Arabidopsis thaliana: one gene and its partner. The protein of the gene in region 1 interacts with the protein of each later gene in a pairwise test. Each region holds a gene or a part of one and is shown on either strand. Other genes may lie near its edges.

Region 1 (6,241 bases):
TCTCAAAGTCAACGAAATTCCAATTTTTGCAAAAATTCAAAAACCCGAGATTATTTACCAGGAGAGCGAGCGAAGAGTTGGGGAGAAGCACCGAAGACATCGTTGAAATTGGCCTTCAAAACATCGAATCGTTGTGTAGCTTCTTGGAGCAGAGATCCTTCGCCGTAGACAGGCTCAAGAGATGTGAAGATCGGGACTGATACTTCTTCCGGTTTCGCCATTTTTGTAGTTTCTCCTTTTGGCTCTCTCTGTCTCTCTCGATCACTTGTCGTCACTTAACCTCTAATGTTCACAGTTATCACGAAACGTCTTCGCTAGAGCATAATTATTAATTGCCACCGATCTTATTTCTAAAATATATTAATTGTTTATCGTATTTAAGATCTGTTCCGGAAGATCGCTTGTATTTATCGAATATTTTGAATTTTAAAAATGAATATTTGTGAATATCTTACTTATCCAAAACTTTCGATCTTTTGGATTCCGGAACACGTTTATGAATCTTAATTCGTACTATATTTGTTGGTGATTTTTTTTTTCTTTGGGTAGGTTTATATTTGATAAACATATTATTCCCAAAAATGATGTTATTGATTAAAAAACGTTTCCTAATTCTTCTAACACTCTATGAATTCAGATAACACTAGATTAGATAAGTGTCCTAGTTTGAATTTAAATTTAATCGTATTTTACGTGTGTGAGAGTTATATCCTATATGTAAAAACTAAAAGTAATTTGAGCTATAAGATAATACTGAATGGATAAATAGTAAAAGTTTTCCGGTTAACCGTTGTTTTTAATTCCTGCTTAATTAGATTGAGTAACAAATATGCAAGTGTTAACGTGTAGCAACATGGAGGTATTACATACAATGTAGATAAAACTATATCTGAAAAAGATATTGATTTATGTGTAAATTAAAAATAATAAAAAATTTCTAAAAGATGATTAGAGGAATAATATATTACATTGTATATATTAGCCATAGGGTTTAGGGTTCAACTAGATTTTTAAGGTTACTCTTATCGTTTATTTATTTATTAATGATATATATATATATATATATATATATATATATATATATATTTATTTATTCACACAATTTAATAAGCAAACGTCTAAGTTGAAACCCTAAATTAAAATATCATTTCTCAAATCACTATAAAATGGAGTCTCTCCCAGAAGAAGTGGTTGTGAAGGAGATCTTGCCACGCGTGGCTCTTTCTTCACTCAAGCTTGTTCAACTTCAGCCTCGTATGCAAATCATTACATAATCTCTGCAACGACCCTCAAGTTCTCGAACACGTCTGCCTCGACGAAATCAAAACCGCAAACGATGACCTATAACTAAAGCTAGAGTTTTCTCAAGAGATGCAGAGAGAGCGGAAACACGGAAGCAGTGGCTCGTGAAGGAATTGTGAAGTGCTTTTACCTATTCAGTAATATTGTTGATGAAGAGAAAGGGATCGAATGTTTGCAAAAGCCGCGTCTAAAGGACTCAAAGCTGCCTCATATCTCTGTGGAGTGATCTCTTTGTGTCGCGGTGGGAAAGTTCCGCAAAAGAGTATCGAGATTTTCAAGTCTTCTTTTGTCGTGAAATCTTCGGCACTGAAGACTAGGAGAAACCTCCAGGAGTATCTGCAATGGATGGTTTCCAAATATAAAAATCATTTTTTGGGAATTAGGCTCCTTGGTTATAACTGTGTTCGACATGGACATAATTTTATCTGGGCAAGTTTCTCTAATAGTGTGTTGGCGAGTTTTAATCCAATCTTCTACAATGTTGCGGTTTATTTTCTCTAATAGTTTGTCCCTTTTGGCAATAATAATATAACTTATGAAATATGTGATGAAAAGAGTTGTCGTGCAAGTTAATAAGAGAAGGCTTAAAAAGAAACAAGAGGACAAAGGCATGGCCACTCCCATGTGCCTCCTCATACTTTTAAGGTCACTTCTCTCTATGTTTTAAATATTTTTTGCTTTTGTCGTCACTTGTCTCTTGTTGTCGCCTAGTCATACTCCAGTGTTCTTAAATCATATCCCTATCACAGAAATTCGTATATTAATTAAGCTAATGAATCAAACTCCTGTTAAGTCAATTTTAACTACAGGTTATTCAGTTTTGCTTCGTGATGAATATTGAAGGATATACAGTACGTGCAGAACTGCAGATTAGTGTTTGAGAAAACTTATTTAGTAACAGGGAATTATTAGCTAATTTAATCTTTTTTCTTCTTTTTTTCCTTTATATTTCTTGTGAAATAAGGAAAAGAAAAGAAAAAGAAGACAAACAACCTATAAGTATCAAAAATGGGATTCAAAGGAGGGGCAATAAAGCGAGTAGATGATTGAGTGACAGATCAATCTCATCAGTCATCATTCAATTCAATGAATTTGAATGTATCATTCCATTCATTCTCTAATGCATCATCACATGCTACCATAATCAAAACTAAAGTTAACCCATTATCTTCCTACATCTACTATAATGTATTTTAAAATTCTAAATGGGAAATTATTTTCTTTCCACTTTATTGCAGTACAAATCTATTTCATGTTGAAATTTCATATAGTACATAAGATGATATAGTACAAAGCCATATTGAATGAACTAAAAGTACATCAAAAGTTCCATATTGGTTTAGTTATCACATACTATGAGGTTAAAAGAGGAACCCATTTTCCCACTAACTCCAATAACGAATTCATCAATCTTATTTTTTTTTTGATCAACAACGAATTCATCAATCTAAATCAAATAATCCAACTACGATTTGAACCCTAATGGTAAAGACTTTATTAATCAATCATATACTTAATTTAGACTTGAGGATCGTAAAAATGGGAAGACTCGGTTCAAAATTTACTTTTACTTGTAGCAGAGAAGAATCAGCGGTTGGGAAGAGTAGTTACAGATTATAATCAAACCGAATCTTCTATATACACATAAGCTGTGAAAGATCGAGAGATGGTAGAATTAAAAAGACGATTTTAACCTCATCAAATCGGTGGAGGAGCTGAGCCGTAGGAGGAGAGAAGCTGAACTAAAGAGTTCATGGCTCTCACTTGCATCTCCAGAGCCTGAATATAATCAGTTGCTTCTTCTAGAATCACCGGTACGGATTGTTTACCGCAACCGGGAACTAACCGGCCTAGAACACGTACTTTCCGGTTAACATCCGGTATACTCTTCTTATTCAATCTCAACACCGACACTCTCCGTTTTCTCGATCTGTTGCTGCTGCTACTAACCACCGTAGTCATGGCCGGAATCGCCATCGTAGCTCGAGGACGTCTCTGTTTACGAAATTTCAGTTTGATCCGATTAGCTAAGATCGCTCTGCTCCAGAGTGTTCTTCCCCGAGCGGAAACGGCAAGAGCTCGATCGGCGGCTTCACGGACGGCCTTTCCTCGTTTCTGAGCCGTTGGAGATGATGATGTTGAGGCGGAAGAGTTGAGGCGGACTTGTTGGAGCGCTTGGAACAGTTTGGCTGAGTAGATCCGTTGTTGCTTCTCCGATCGCCATCGCGCGTGAATCTCACCGGAGACGGAAGATGCGCTTGAACGAGACGATGCGGCGGATGAAGCAGAGGATCTCTTCTTTCTCCGAACGAGATCTGAAGTAGTACTCGTCGGCGGTTCAATATCTGAGATCAGAGACGCCATAACCAAATAATTGGCTCTGATCTCCGCAGTCGTATTGAAAGAGCTACAGAATCCGAATTTATCTGAAGTTGAGCGGAAGAAAGTTATGAAATTGTGGAGAATAATGGAAGGGAGAAGAAGAGGAAGATATATAAAGGGAGAGAGGTATCAACTATCACGAGACGTAGCAGTTAACAAACGGCCCCGTTTTAGATGTAGCAGTTAATAAGCGGCGTCGTTTTGTCAATTTGTTTTTTAGTATTTGTTGTTTTAGCCAGATACGAAAGTGGCATTTGTAATGCATGATAAAGAGAATTCGTGAATACCACCAAGAAACAAATAATTTCATTCTCAACACTAGTGGAATTGATAAGTTATAATTAACTGGCTCTATAACCTCTAATGGTTTTGGAATAATGAGAGACAGAGACATCATTGTGACTTGAAGCAATGTTTATGAATTATGATTATACTTAAAAAGTTTTGTTCCACGTTGATTAGTTCACAATTATTTTTTTAAACTTACCCTCTTGACAGAGATTTTAGAAAGAAATTTATATACAAAATTTCTTACAATCACGAGTTTTCGATCTTTTGTAGACATAATCTAAATAGAGAGTAAAATACATAATAGAAATGCTACAAAGATCCTAATGTGGGTAGAGCATCCATAACGATAGTTTCCAATCAATTTAGGGTACAATCTTAATTACTAAATTAGCTTATTGATATCTAAAGATGTTTACGAAAAGAGAAAACAAACAAACTTGTATAAAGGCCGATACTTTGGTGGAATGGAGGAGGAAGGTAGATTCAAACGAAAGGATGACGTGTCATATTACTATTGGAGAAATCCATTTACGACTTATAGTGGTCGTTTAATGGACTGACAGGGCAAAAAGAGAGGGGCCAAAAACTCAAAACTTTGGATTTTGTATTCAGTGCAATGATTTCGTAAATATTGGAATTGTATTTAAAATACTACTTTACGCATAAAGTAATATACCAAACGAAATGCATGTGCGATGTAGGGTTAGTGGCACTGCCTCTCTTTACGGCTTTTTTTTCTTTCCCTGTAAAGAAAAGATCACTGAAATTAACTCCTGTATTTTATCAAAAAAAAGTTTTGTATGTGTATCTATCAATATGTATGAATAAAATTTCATTAAATTTTGTGTATATGTATAAGTAGATATAAGATTAATAGATTGTTGGGTAAAGTATAAGGGAGTGGCGTCATTTTATTCATATATCCTGCTGAAAAAAGGAGCTTCTGAACTTCTCCATTGGGTTAATTCATATATAAATAAAGCTAGCTACGTTCAAACTAATTTTCTAGAAAAGTTACTGTTAGTTTGATTTTTGTTTGTACTGTTCACTATGTTGAGTTTGATCAGCAGTTAAAATGGAAAATACCTATCTTAGTTTATGTTAGACATAAAAGTACCACAATGGTATATATACTGTATTAAGATGTTTTTAGGCGGGTGGAAAGGATGTTAGAAACAGAGCGCAATGCGCAATGCTTCATAGATAATAGTATTCATTTAACCTAAGGGCTAAGGGTTAATAATTGTGTCAGTAACGTGGCATATTCTCTGTACCTTAGAAAGTTATAAGCTAGAATGATTCCACATGACAAATTAATGATAAGAAACAACATATCCAATTATTCACTAAAGTGTCACTTACAATAAAATAGTTTATCTACTTCGAATTTAAGAATATATTTTCGATTTAGATACTTAAATTTTCTCAATTTATACTTTAGAATCAAGCAGAAAATTTGTTGGTGAAGAACAAAGCAACCTAATGAATTATCTGTTTTACGAACTGAGTCAAAGAAACCACTATTCGAATCTGCGATTTGCGTAATTCTCATGGGCTCTACTTCAACAACAACAACAAAAAAAACATGTATCACAAAGGTTGCTGGCTGTAATTGTTATCTTCCATTAATAGAAATAAATATATTTCGGATTGGAAGTTCAAATTTGTTACTATGAAAATTTACTACTGTAAATCATAATTCCAGCTATCTAAGGTTTTCAAATTTATTTGCAAATCATTATGTATCTCGGATGTAATGAGTTTTTTCTTATTATATTAATGAAAAAAGTTGATAAGGAAAGGAAAACTAACTATTAAGTATGATGAAGGTGGCACAGAGATTGCCTCCCTAATTCTAGACACCAAATAAACTAAGTGAACGACAGACAATGGAAGAAGAAGGACTAGTTTCTTTTTAAAGGAAGAAAAAGGGAAGTATTGATTAGATTAACAGATGATGATGCTCAATCATTGTTTTTTCAACGGGTCTATTTTGGATTGCTAATATGAAATGATTAATAGTCTTTTGGTAAATTTAACATCAACTTAACAACACTTTTCAGAGGCAAATATGAAAACACTAACCTGTGTAGTTTTTTCTTTTTTCAAATGATATTTCCAACTTCTATGTGTTTCGCTTCATCAGAAGTAGTTGATTTTTTGTCCCTGGTTTCTCACAGTGATAGCAGCCAAATCCTGTTTAAATAGTAGAAATATGATTATTGTTAGATTACGTACACTAATTTATAAGCATTTGGAAGCCTAA
Region 2 (8,526 bases), on another chromosome or scaffold:
TGTCTTTTGACGCTTATCTTGGGATTTTGCTTCGTTTTGCTTGACAGACAACTCCTCCTGATGCCTCTTCCGTTGATTTCTTTGCCTCACAATTTTTACACGTAGTTTCTTGAAGGAAACAAAAAATTAAGTATAAGAAAACTGTTCATGCGACTCGGACACAATAACGTCAAAGATCAATTAAAAACTAACTTTGAGAAATTCAAAGATACGGGAACCCATTTGATACTGCAGCATCTCATATAGCGATTCCGCAAACAATGAAATCTGCAAGAACATAGAAGATAGTTTGATGAAAACTATTCAGATGTAACAACAAAATGTGGTACACTAAGTTCCAGTATAAAGAAAACGAAAACAGGCTAAGCAAAACGTAAGGGAAAAACAAACCTCAAATGATGACTCATCAAGGTCCTTGTCAGTGTAATCCAAGAGCGAATCCAAAGAGGCCGAAAGTGAACGCAACTGCCAAAAAAAAAGCAGTTACGACCATAATATAGCCATTACCAAATGTAATGAAACTTCTAATTTCCTGTCCACCTACTTTGGAGTCTTTGTTCCGTTTTGTCTGTAGAATAAATCCAGCGCGAGGAGGTTCCTCACACTTTTTCCTGTCCTTCACTTGAATCCTGGACTCATCTTTTCCACCTCTCTCTTTTATCTCTTTCTCGGTAACCTTTTCTTTTACCTCTTTCTCATCAGTATTATTCCTATCAATTTTCTTCCCCTCAGACATAGTCTCTGAGTTGTTTTTCTTTTCAGCCTTCTTGTCTTCACCTGTCTTAGTGTCTTTCTTGCTTGAACTAGAGGCACCCTCCTTTTTCTTAGTATCCGGAGATCCTGTTTCCTGTTTTACATCCACAGTTTTGGAGGCATTCTCGTCTTTCACATCTTCTAAAGATTCGGCCGTCGGTTTCATCTCCACACTACCTGAATCAGAGGATTTCTTGCCTACCTCCATCACCTTTTTCTCATCACTATCTCCGTCTTTCTTGGAGTCACCGTCCATTTTGTTGTCTATTTCAGCAACCTTCCTTTTAGCCACCCTTTTAATAATTTTTTTCTTTACAATTGTCTTTGCAGGAGTCTGCTCATTAGCCTTAGCACTGGGATCTGAGGTATCTCCAGTTTCAGCTACCTTTTTCACTATTTTTTTGTTAGAAGATGTACCAGTGGACTCTTCTTTTGGGACTGTGGTCTCTGGTATGGCAACATGTTCAGGAACATCCGACTTCTCACCTTTCATACCAGTTGCTTTTCCATCGTTGACAGGCCTCTTAACAACTCTTTTAATGATCTTTTTAACAGTCTTCTTAGTTCCAGTTGTCGGAGTGCCGGAAGTATCTCCTGGTGACTTTTTCTCTGCATCCTTGGTTACTTCAACAGTATCTTTCTTAACCTCCTGAGAGAGTAGTCGATCTCTTTCAGTAAGAGCTTTCCTGTGTGCCAACCATTGGGTTCTCCAAACATCAAATGAAGGAAGACATTCTGATAAATCGGGGACAAAAAGTACTGTGATCTCTTTGTAGCTAAACACTCCATCTGTACCAACTCTGTCATAATGTATCTGTCAATTCCAAAAAAGAGAGGCAAAGCTAAGCTACTTAGATTTCCATATAAACTGGCAAGAAAGTAACATTGCTTTGTTAGCTTATAACTTATCCTAGGTCTACCATATTGACAAAAAAGTGAAACTGCAGTAAAACAGGACACAAATTAACAATTTTTGCAAGTATTCATAGAGCAAATCTCTGGATAAACCAATATCATATCATCTTCAACGACCTCTACCTATAGAAAATAAGAGAGATTGTACGGTATATATACTATCTTAGCTACAATACTCAAGTGTAATGTCCCCACACGTCCAACATCTCAATGCAGTCTTAAACCAAGAGAAGGAAAACCTACCTCTAGGAATGGATTCCAGTGACGGCAGTTACTCAGATCAAGATGAAGCTTATCCTTTGAGTGTCTGCAAAGGAAAAGGTTTTTCAAGTCTCAGACAATGAACAAAACGGCAGCAAAGAATGACAAAAGAATACGTGAAGAGACAAACCTCAGCATTGTCTGAATTAAGGAAGACTGATCAACTGATGGGTCCATGCCATCTGTGGGATCCCAGGAACCACCAATCGCCATGAATGAATGATCTTTTTTAAGAACAGCGAATTTTAATATGTTGCATATATGAGGTATACGATCCTCAAAGAATTTATCTGAAGCAAGATCTTCCAGAGCAGTCCTGCTCAGCCCGCTCATCAAAACCATCTGAACAGCACATAAAACCCATAACACATGAGCAATTCTTTCAATATACTCCGAAACAATAGCAGCAATGATACATCGTGCAAACATGAGCAATGACATAATTAAAGAGGCAATCTTTATCAATGAGAAAGAAAAAAACAGCCAACCTTGGCGTTCCAAACACTTTTTCCTCCAGTTTTCAAAGCTAAAGGCTTAGTGGAAGTACTTTTCACATCAGCTCCACCATCTTCAATGTAATCATGCTCAAAACTGTCGTCCTCAAAAAAAGATGGTTAGGTCTACAAATACATTTAACTAGATAGTATATAACAAAAGTGAATCCACAAAACTTGAATAATGTGTGTAACTCTACAATACGGACTGGGCAAGGGAAACAAAAATCCAGAACAGATCTATTTAAACCAGTTAAGAAGGATTACAATCCTAAGACTGACAAAATGTAAATAAGAAGCAGAATAATTCACCTCACAGCAGTATGCATAGAAAGTGTAAGCTTCTGTTTCGGCCAGTTCACAACAACCTGAAACATATAGTACATTTGAGGTTAACAATCATTTAGAACTCCACTAAGGATTAGATAATAATTGGGAGATAGAATAACAGAAACCTTCGAGAACTCAGAAGGCACAAAAAGCCTGGGATATCTTTTATCTAGTGTCACGTAATCCCTCTCCATGTCAACCAATCGCGAAGATAAAACCTGCACATAAGTCACCCAATAGTTTAATAAAGAATAATGCACACTGCGCTTAAGCACTGCATCACACATACAGAGTGTAAGGTAACTCTGCCCCTCCTATCTCTGTCACCATCAATCTTATTAATGGGAAATATAACAAAAAGTCCTTGATTTGAGAAAGTGGTAAGCATCAAGTGTCTCATCCTTGTAAACATTTCCACATTTAATTCAATACGAAGTCCATCAGAAAAAAAACTAGTAATCAGGTAAACTAACTGGAGACACAAAAATGAGGAACCTGATATATGTCACTAATTTTAAAAGCAGGCAAAATAACACCCAGAGGTGGCAAGAAGACAGAAGCTTGGACAAATAAACCCACAACTAGGAAAGGCCAAGTAAATTCGCCACAAAAGGAAAGAGGAAGTATAACAAGCCCAAGTACAGGAAGATATCCCGTCGACAGAAAAAGAATGAGAAAGCTGAAAGGATTATCTTGATAAATGGCAAGGCTGATATAGTAATTGAGGAGGGACTAAGAGATGTCCAAGTCAATCAATAAGAAAACAACGAGAATGCAGGAATGGAAAGGAAGATGAGGTAACCCTGAGGAGTAGGCAAAAAAATCACTGAAAGAGGAATCTCTTGGAACACTTATTACCTTGCAGACATAATCTCTTCTTATTGGCTTAATCGGTGAAGAACGCCTTCAGGTATAACAGAAATAAGGTTAGTGCCTGGTGCAGGAACATAAAATGCCCTGTATTCCAGATGAAGAACGTGACAGAGATCAAAAATAAAACCTAATTGATGCTTCACGATGGTGTGCATCCCGCCGCAAAGAGGAACTACGTGCATCCCTAGAAATAGATTTGGGCACTGGAGTCCGCTCCTTTGTGTCCTTGGACGTAGCTCTTGCTGTTGGAGTCCGATCTCGTTTTATTTCGAGAGCACGTTTTCGCTCACGTTCTCTTTCTCCTTGTCTTTCCTTCTCCCGTCTCTCCAATATGCGTTCCCTCTCCCGGTCCCTAGCTCTTTGCCTTTCTCGTTCCCTCTGACGCTCTCGTTCTCTGTCATGTTCGCGCTCCCTCTCTCGTTCTCGCTCCTTATCTCTGGCGCGTTGATCCTCACGACGACGCTCTTCTTCTCTTAGATCAAACTCCCTGAGATAACTTGCCCGGTCACCTTTCCGGAGATCATCAACACGAGGAGCAGCGCCAGTACCACGAGCCAGCATGCCACCAGGGTAGTCCAAGTCGAGAGACGCTGCACTATGGATACCTTTCCCGGTGCCATAATCCCTGCCTGGAGGTAAGCTAACACCATAACCAGGATTTGAAGAACTCTCCGGATAAATATAGTCATCTAAGTTTCGCCGAGGAACAGCTCCTAATAACGATGGGGTATGTTGGCTGGCATAAGAAGATGTGTTGCGTACTGATAAACCGTGAGGATCAGACTCAAGCCTTCCTCCATAATGCATTGCTTCTTGGTCAGAATGACGCACAGTAGAACTTCGTTCTGTAAGATAATCGGTTTGTCTGCCAGAAATGTATGCTACTCAGTGTAATAAGATATGTTTTTTCTTCAATCGTTATTGAAAGTTTTGACAAGAAGTTACAGTAGCTTTATAACAAAGGTCCTGAGAGAACAGATCTGAAAACAATACAGATAACAGATGTACCAAAAAATACAAACTATTTGAAAAAGAAATCTATGCTAGAAAGAAATCTGGCTACCGATATAATAGAATCAATCATCGAAAAATACCTGTTGACACCTGCATCAACAGAAGAGGTATGAAGCGACTGCATTTTTAATAATTGTTCTCCTCGGAGAAGCGATGCTTGATCAATGCGATCATACAAGTCAGTCTGCCAAAATCATATAATAACGAGTATCATCAAGCCAATTGTAACAACATTGAACAGAAACCAACCAAATTCATAAGATTTTCTCTTAAAAATATGAGAGTAGGCGCACCTGGCGAGCAAAATTAGATGGATCAGCATATCGCCTAGTTGGTTCATTTTGCAACTCCCTACCGAGATAAGAGCTTGATTGTTCACCATACTGCCTTCTATCAACGGGAATGTAACCAGACAGCTTATCGGAATACAAATCGTCCGTCTTTTGACCATAACCATGGCTCGAGGGAGACAAATAGCTTCCAGATGCAAACTTTGGTGAATCAGGTAAAGTAGGGACATATCCCGAGCGGTTATCCAAAACTGATGAACCTAAACCATTGGTGCTTAAAGGCTGAGAGCTGCTAAGAGAAGTTGATCCATACACAGAGCCATATTGTGTTCCGTAATGACTAGCAGCTGTAGATAAATGAGATCTGTATCCACCACCAATGTCAGTCTCTTGAGGAGCACCTGTAATTGATGGATGGCGAGAACTCAAAGAAATCTGAGAGCCTCCTTCTGCGCCACCACTCACTGAACTTCCAGGATAGCCAGATCCAAGCTACATAACAATTACACATAAATTAAGCATAATTAAGCATAATTTGGTTTCAATTGAAATTGATGATCTTACATTCTGAGAATAACCAGATTGCGAACCGTATTGCTGTTGACCGTAGCCAGTGCCTCTTGAAGAATACATATCTCTATGCATCTGGTTTCAATTTTGTAATTTTAGTTAGTACATTCTTTGAGAGATAATACGAAGAACGAACAATAACAAAGATTTATCAAAAAAACAACATGAATCAACCGAAATTTTCACGTCCCTAAACTACAATTTCGAATTCACATACATGATTCGATCAAGCGAGTAAAATTAAATTAAATTGACGGACTTTACCTACAAGAAGATTGAAAAATTGTTTCTTCTTTGCGTGTCTTACGTGTTGAGAGAAGAGGAAGAGACTAAGCAATTGAGAGATTAAAAAGGGAAAAAACAAAACCCTAGAAATCACAGATAGAGGAAGAAGACGAGCTTGAGAGAATGGTTTGAGGATTAGTTTGCTGTGAAGAAGAGAAAGTAAAGAGAACGATATGTTTGTTAGTAGTAAGGGTTCAAGTTAGAGGACACGCATGCATTATCTTTTAATGGGCTTATATATTAGCCTTTTTATAAGTTCGTTATAGGCCCGTTCTTTTATATTTTCAAAACAAATTTGGCCCGTTATAGGCTAGTTTGAGCCTCCACTTTCTGTATCTCTTTAAGGGCCTTTGTTTTGGTTATGTATTGTATCGAATGTTTAATATAATGTTACATTTGTGAAGAAAAAAAATGAAAAAAAAAATGAAAATCTAGCATTAAAAAATTTAGATGGTAATGAATTTTTTATAGTTAGTATAAGATTTAGTAAATCACCATTTTTGATATATTTGTCTAAATATCAAAAAAAAAATTGGAAACTTTACTCGAGGCTTGTGGTTTTGTCCAAAAATATAATGTCAAGATCCATTACTCTTCTTTGTATGATTCTATCAACAGAGGTATAGCATCAGTGGAGTAGCACAATAGGCACCAGCTAAGTTAAAGACTAACTGCCTCACATCACATTATCATTTCTCCTAAGCTGTTCTGCCATTAGTTTAACATGAATGAATAATTGCAAGTGATAAATCAATCTCCATGTTGTTTTTGTTAATAAAACTGAATTCAACAGTGCTTGTAGTCTGTCAAGTGAGGTCCACATTTTAAATATTTTCAGAAGAGATCACTCAAGATGTGAATCCTGCTTGTAGTCAGAGTTAAGAGTCCAGTTCGTCAACCTGCTTGAAGTCATAGCTGTTGGATTTTCATCTCATTCTCAGTTAAAAGCGACTTCAAGGAGGTAGATGAACTGGACTCCAGGCTCCTTTACTCTGACTCGAGTTTCGCTACTTTTGCTGCAGATGTTTTTTGTCTGAGACAACCTAAAACAAAAAATCAGCTAAAATCAAACCCCTAAAATGAAGACCATCAGAAGAGTGTCTTTTTTTACCAAGAACAACCAAAACCATTTTTGTTTTTCTAATAAGCACATCATCAAACACAGACAAGTTTGAAGCAATAGGAGTAATGTTAATAGGAGAGCGAATTTGATATCACTACATCTTTACAGGTAAAACTTTCGTAGAATGCTTAGTTTCTAGAATTCCTTCATTCTAGATCCTGTATGTGATCTTGAACTTTTGTCGTTCAAAGCAGTTTTCTAGTTGCCTTTGAGCTATAAAAGCAAATGGAAAATCACATACATGGATGGAAAAGATGATTACCATGTGTCTCATTAAAGAGACAATGAGTCATATCTTCAAAATGTCATCAACACACTTTGAGGCTTTGCCAAACGTATGCACCTAGAATACCATCACCATCAAATGCATAAAAAGTATATTAACAAGCGATAGGAAGTATAACCTTCACAAATGCCAATTAAATGATGTAAATGCTGTCTGCTTTCAACCACTTCCTCCATCAGATTCTCCTCAATGGCAAAATGGTTCCTTTCTGCAAAATAGACAACATTCTCCAAGTAGCCGAGATAGTGTATGTCTATTTCAGCAATTGGCTTAAAGCTTCCAACCCTTTAAATACCTCTAGATCATTTAATAGTCCAACGGGCTCAGTATCACGATTTAAAAGGTCAACCACAGTCTCGTTATACACTAAGCTCCTTTCTTGAGTCTGCATAGATTTTACAAGATTCATGGGTAAAGAAGGAAAAACATATCATATCTTAACAAAAATACAGAAATAGGGACCTTCAATTTCATCGGTAGCTCACTTTTCTTATATGCTCGTATATATCTCTAACAACACTTTCAGTAACCCCCATGTGCAAGTCTTGTGATTTCTGTATTCAACTTATTTACATTTTTTCTCAACTGCATAATCCTGCAACTAAAGATCAGTCTCCTCCTCATTCCGGCCTTGCGAGAAAACTCCAACATCTTATTGTGCTTTAGTTCATACCGTTTACAGGTAGCCGCAGCAGATGTGCACCCTAAAATGATAGAAGTATATACCACCAAAACAAAGAGTTGCTTTAAACATCTAAAATAAAGTTACAATTTGAAGTTCTGGACTATGGACTATGACACAATGGGTCAACAAATTTAGTCGTTACCTGCGTGCACTTCCAACTTCCTGACTCTGACTGTAGAAAACTAGACCCCATCTCATTATGCAGCTTCAGGTCGTGTTATAGCGTTGTTACCAACTCTTTTTCCCTACCCACTGAATCGTATAGACTATAGACGCATAGTCAACATGATTCTGAAATGAATACTAAACTTCTTTTTGTATGATCTGAAATAACTTTAGTTTTCATCTCTGCCTCAATAACAAGACCGACACAACAGCTTTGAGATACCCAAAAGATCACATACAACTTCCATATATCATGTATACACTATTATGATACTTGTAATTGAACAAAAGCATATATTCTACTAGGTACAGAAGATGTACACAAGGGGTCTTATGCGTCCTACTTACAAGCATGCAGATCCGAAGCTCTTCTTCTGTCCTCATTTTCTATACTTTCACCTATTCTTTTTTTATTCTTCTGTGCATAGTAAATCAGTTTTCCCTCTGCAAATCATAGAAAGGGCATGAGCACAACATGTCAT

Evidence for each region.
Region 2: the proteins of AT3G06590 (region 1) and emb1579 interact in a two-hybrid assay, tested with the Arabidopsis thaliana proteins (one study listed by BioGRID).

The regions. Positions count from the first base shown.
Region 1 is NC_003074.8:2,051,647-2,057,887, forward strand, and holds AT3G06590 (basic helix-loop-helix (bHLH) DNA-binding superfamily protein), read right to left. Parts: upstream 4,021-6,241; 5' UTR 3,667-4,020; coding exon 3,001-3,666; 3' UTR 2,997-3,000; exon of another isoform or gene 2,043-2,996; 3' UTR 1,433-2,042; exon of another isoform or gene 1,354-1,432; 3' UTR 1,101-1,353; downstream 1-1,100. Other genes in the region: GALK (Mevalonate/galactokinase family protein), read right to left, coding at 59-221. UniProt on the Arabidopsis thaliana protein: bHLH transcription factor that binds DNA on specific sequence 5'-CANNTG-3' in target gene promoters. Negatively regulates brassinosteroid signaling.
Region 2 is NC_003071.7:949,362-957,887, reverse strand, and holds the start of emb1579 (ATP/GTP-binding protein family), read right to left. Parts: upstream 6,001-8,526; 5' UTR 5,765-6,000; intron 5,576-5,764; coding exon 5,495-5,575; intron 5,423-5,494; coding exon 4,934-5,422; intron 4,825-4,933; coding exon 4,721-4,824; intron 4,492-4,720; coding exon 3,754-4,491; intron 3,658-3,753; coding exon 3,612-3,657; intron 2,972-3,611; coding exon 2,879-2,971; intron 2,792-2,878; coding exon 2,736-2,791; intron 2,521-2,735; coding exon 2,418-2,520; intron 2,272-2,417; coding exon 2,060-2,271; intron 1,976-2,059; coding exon 1,912-1,975; intron 1,568-1,911; coding exon 545-1,567; intron 466-544; coding exon 391-465; intron 268-390; coding exon 193-267; intron 109-192; coding exon 1-108. Other genes in the region: AT2G03140 (alpha/beta-Hydrolases superfamily protein), read right to left, coding at 7,717-7,898, 8,022-8,051, 8,393-8,488. UniProt on the Arabidopsis thaliana protein: Required for salt tolerance and sodium (Na) homeostasis after salt stress. Together with BHLH148/RITF1, regulates the transcription of several genes involved in the detoxification of reactive oxygen species (ROS) generated by salt (NaCl) stress. Binds calcium.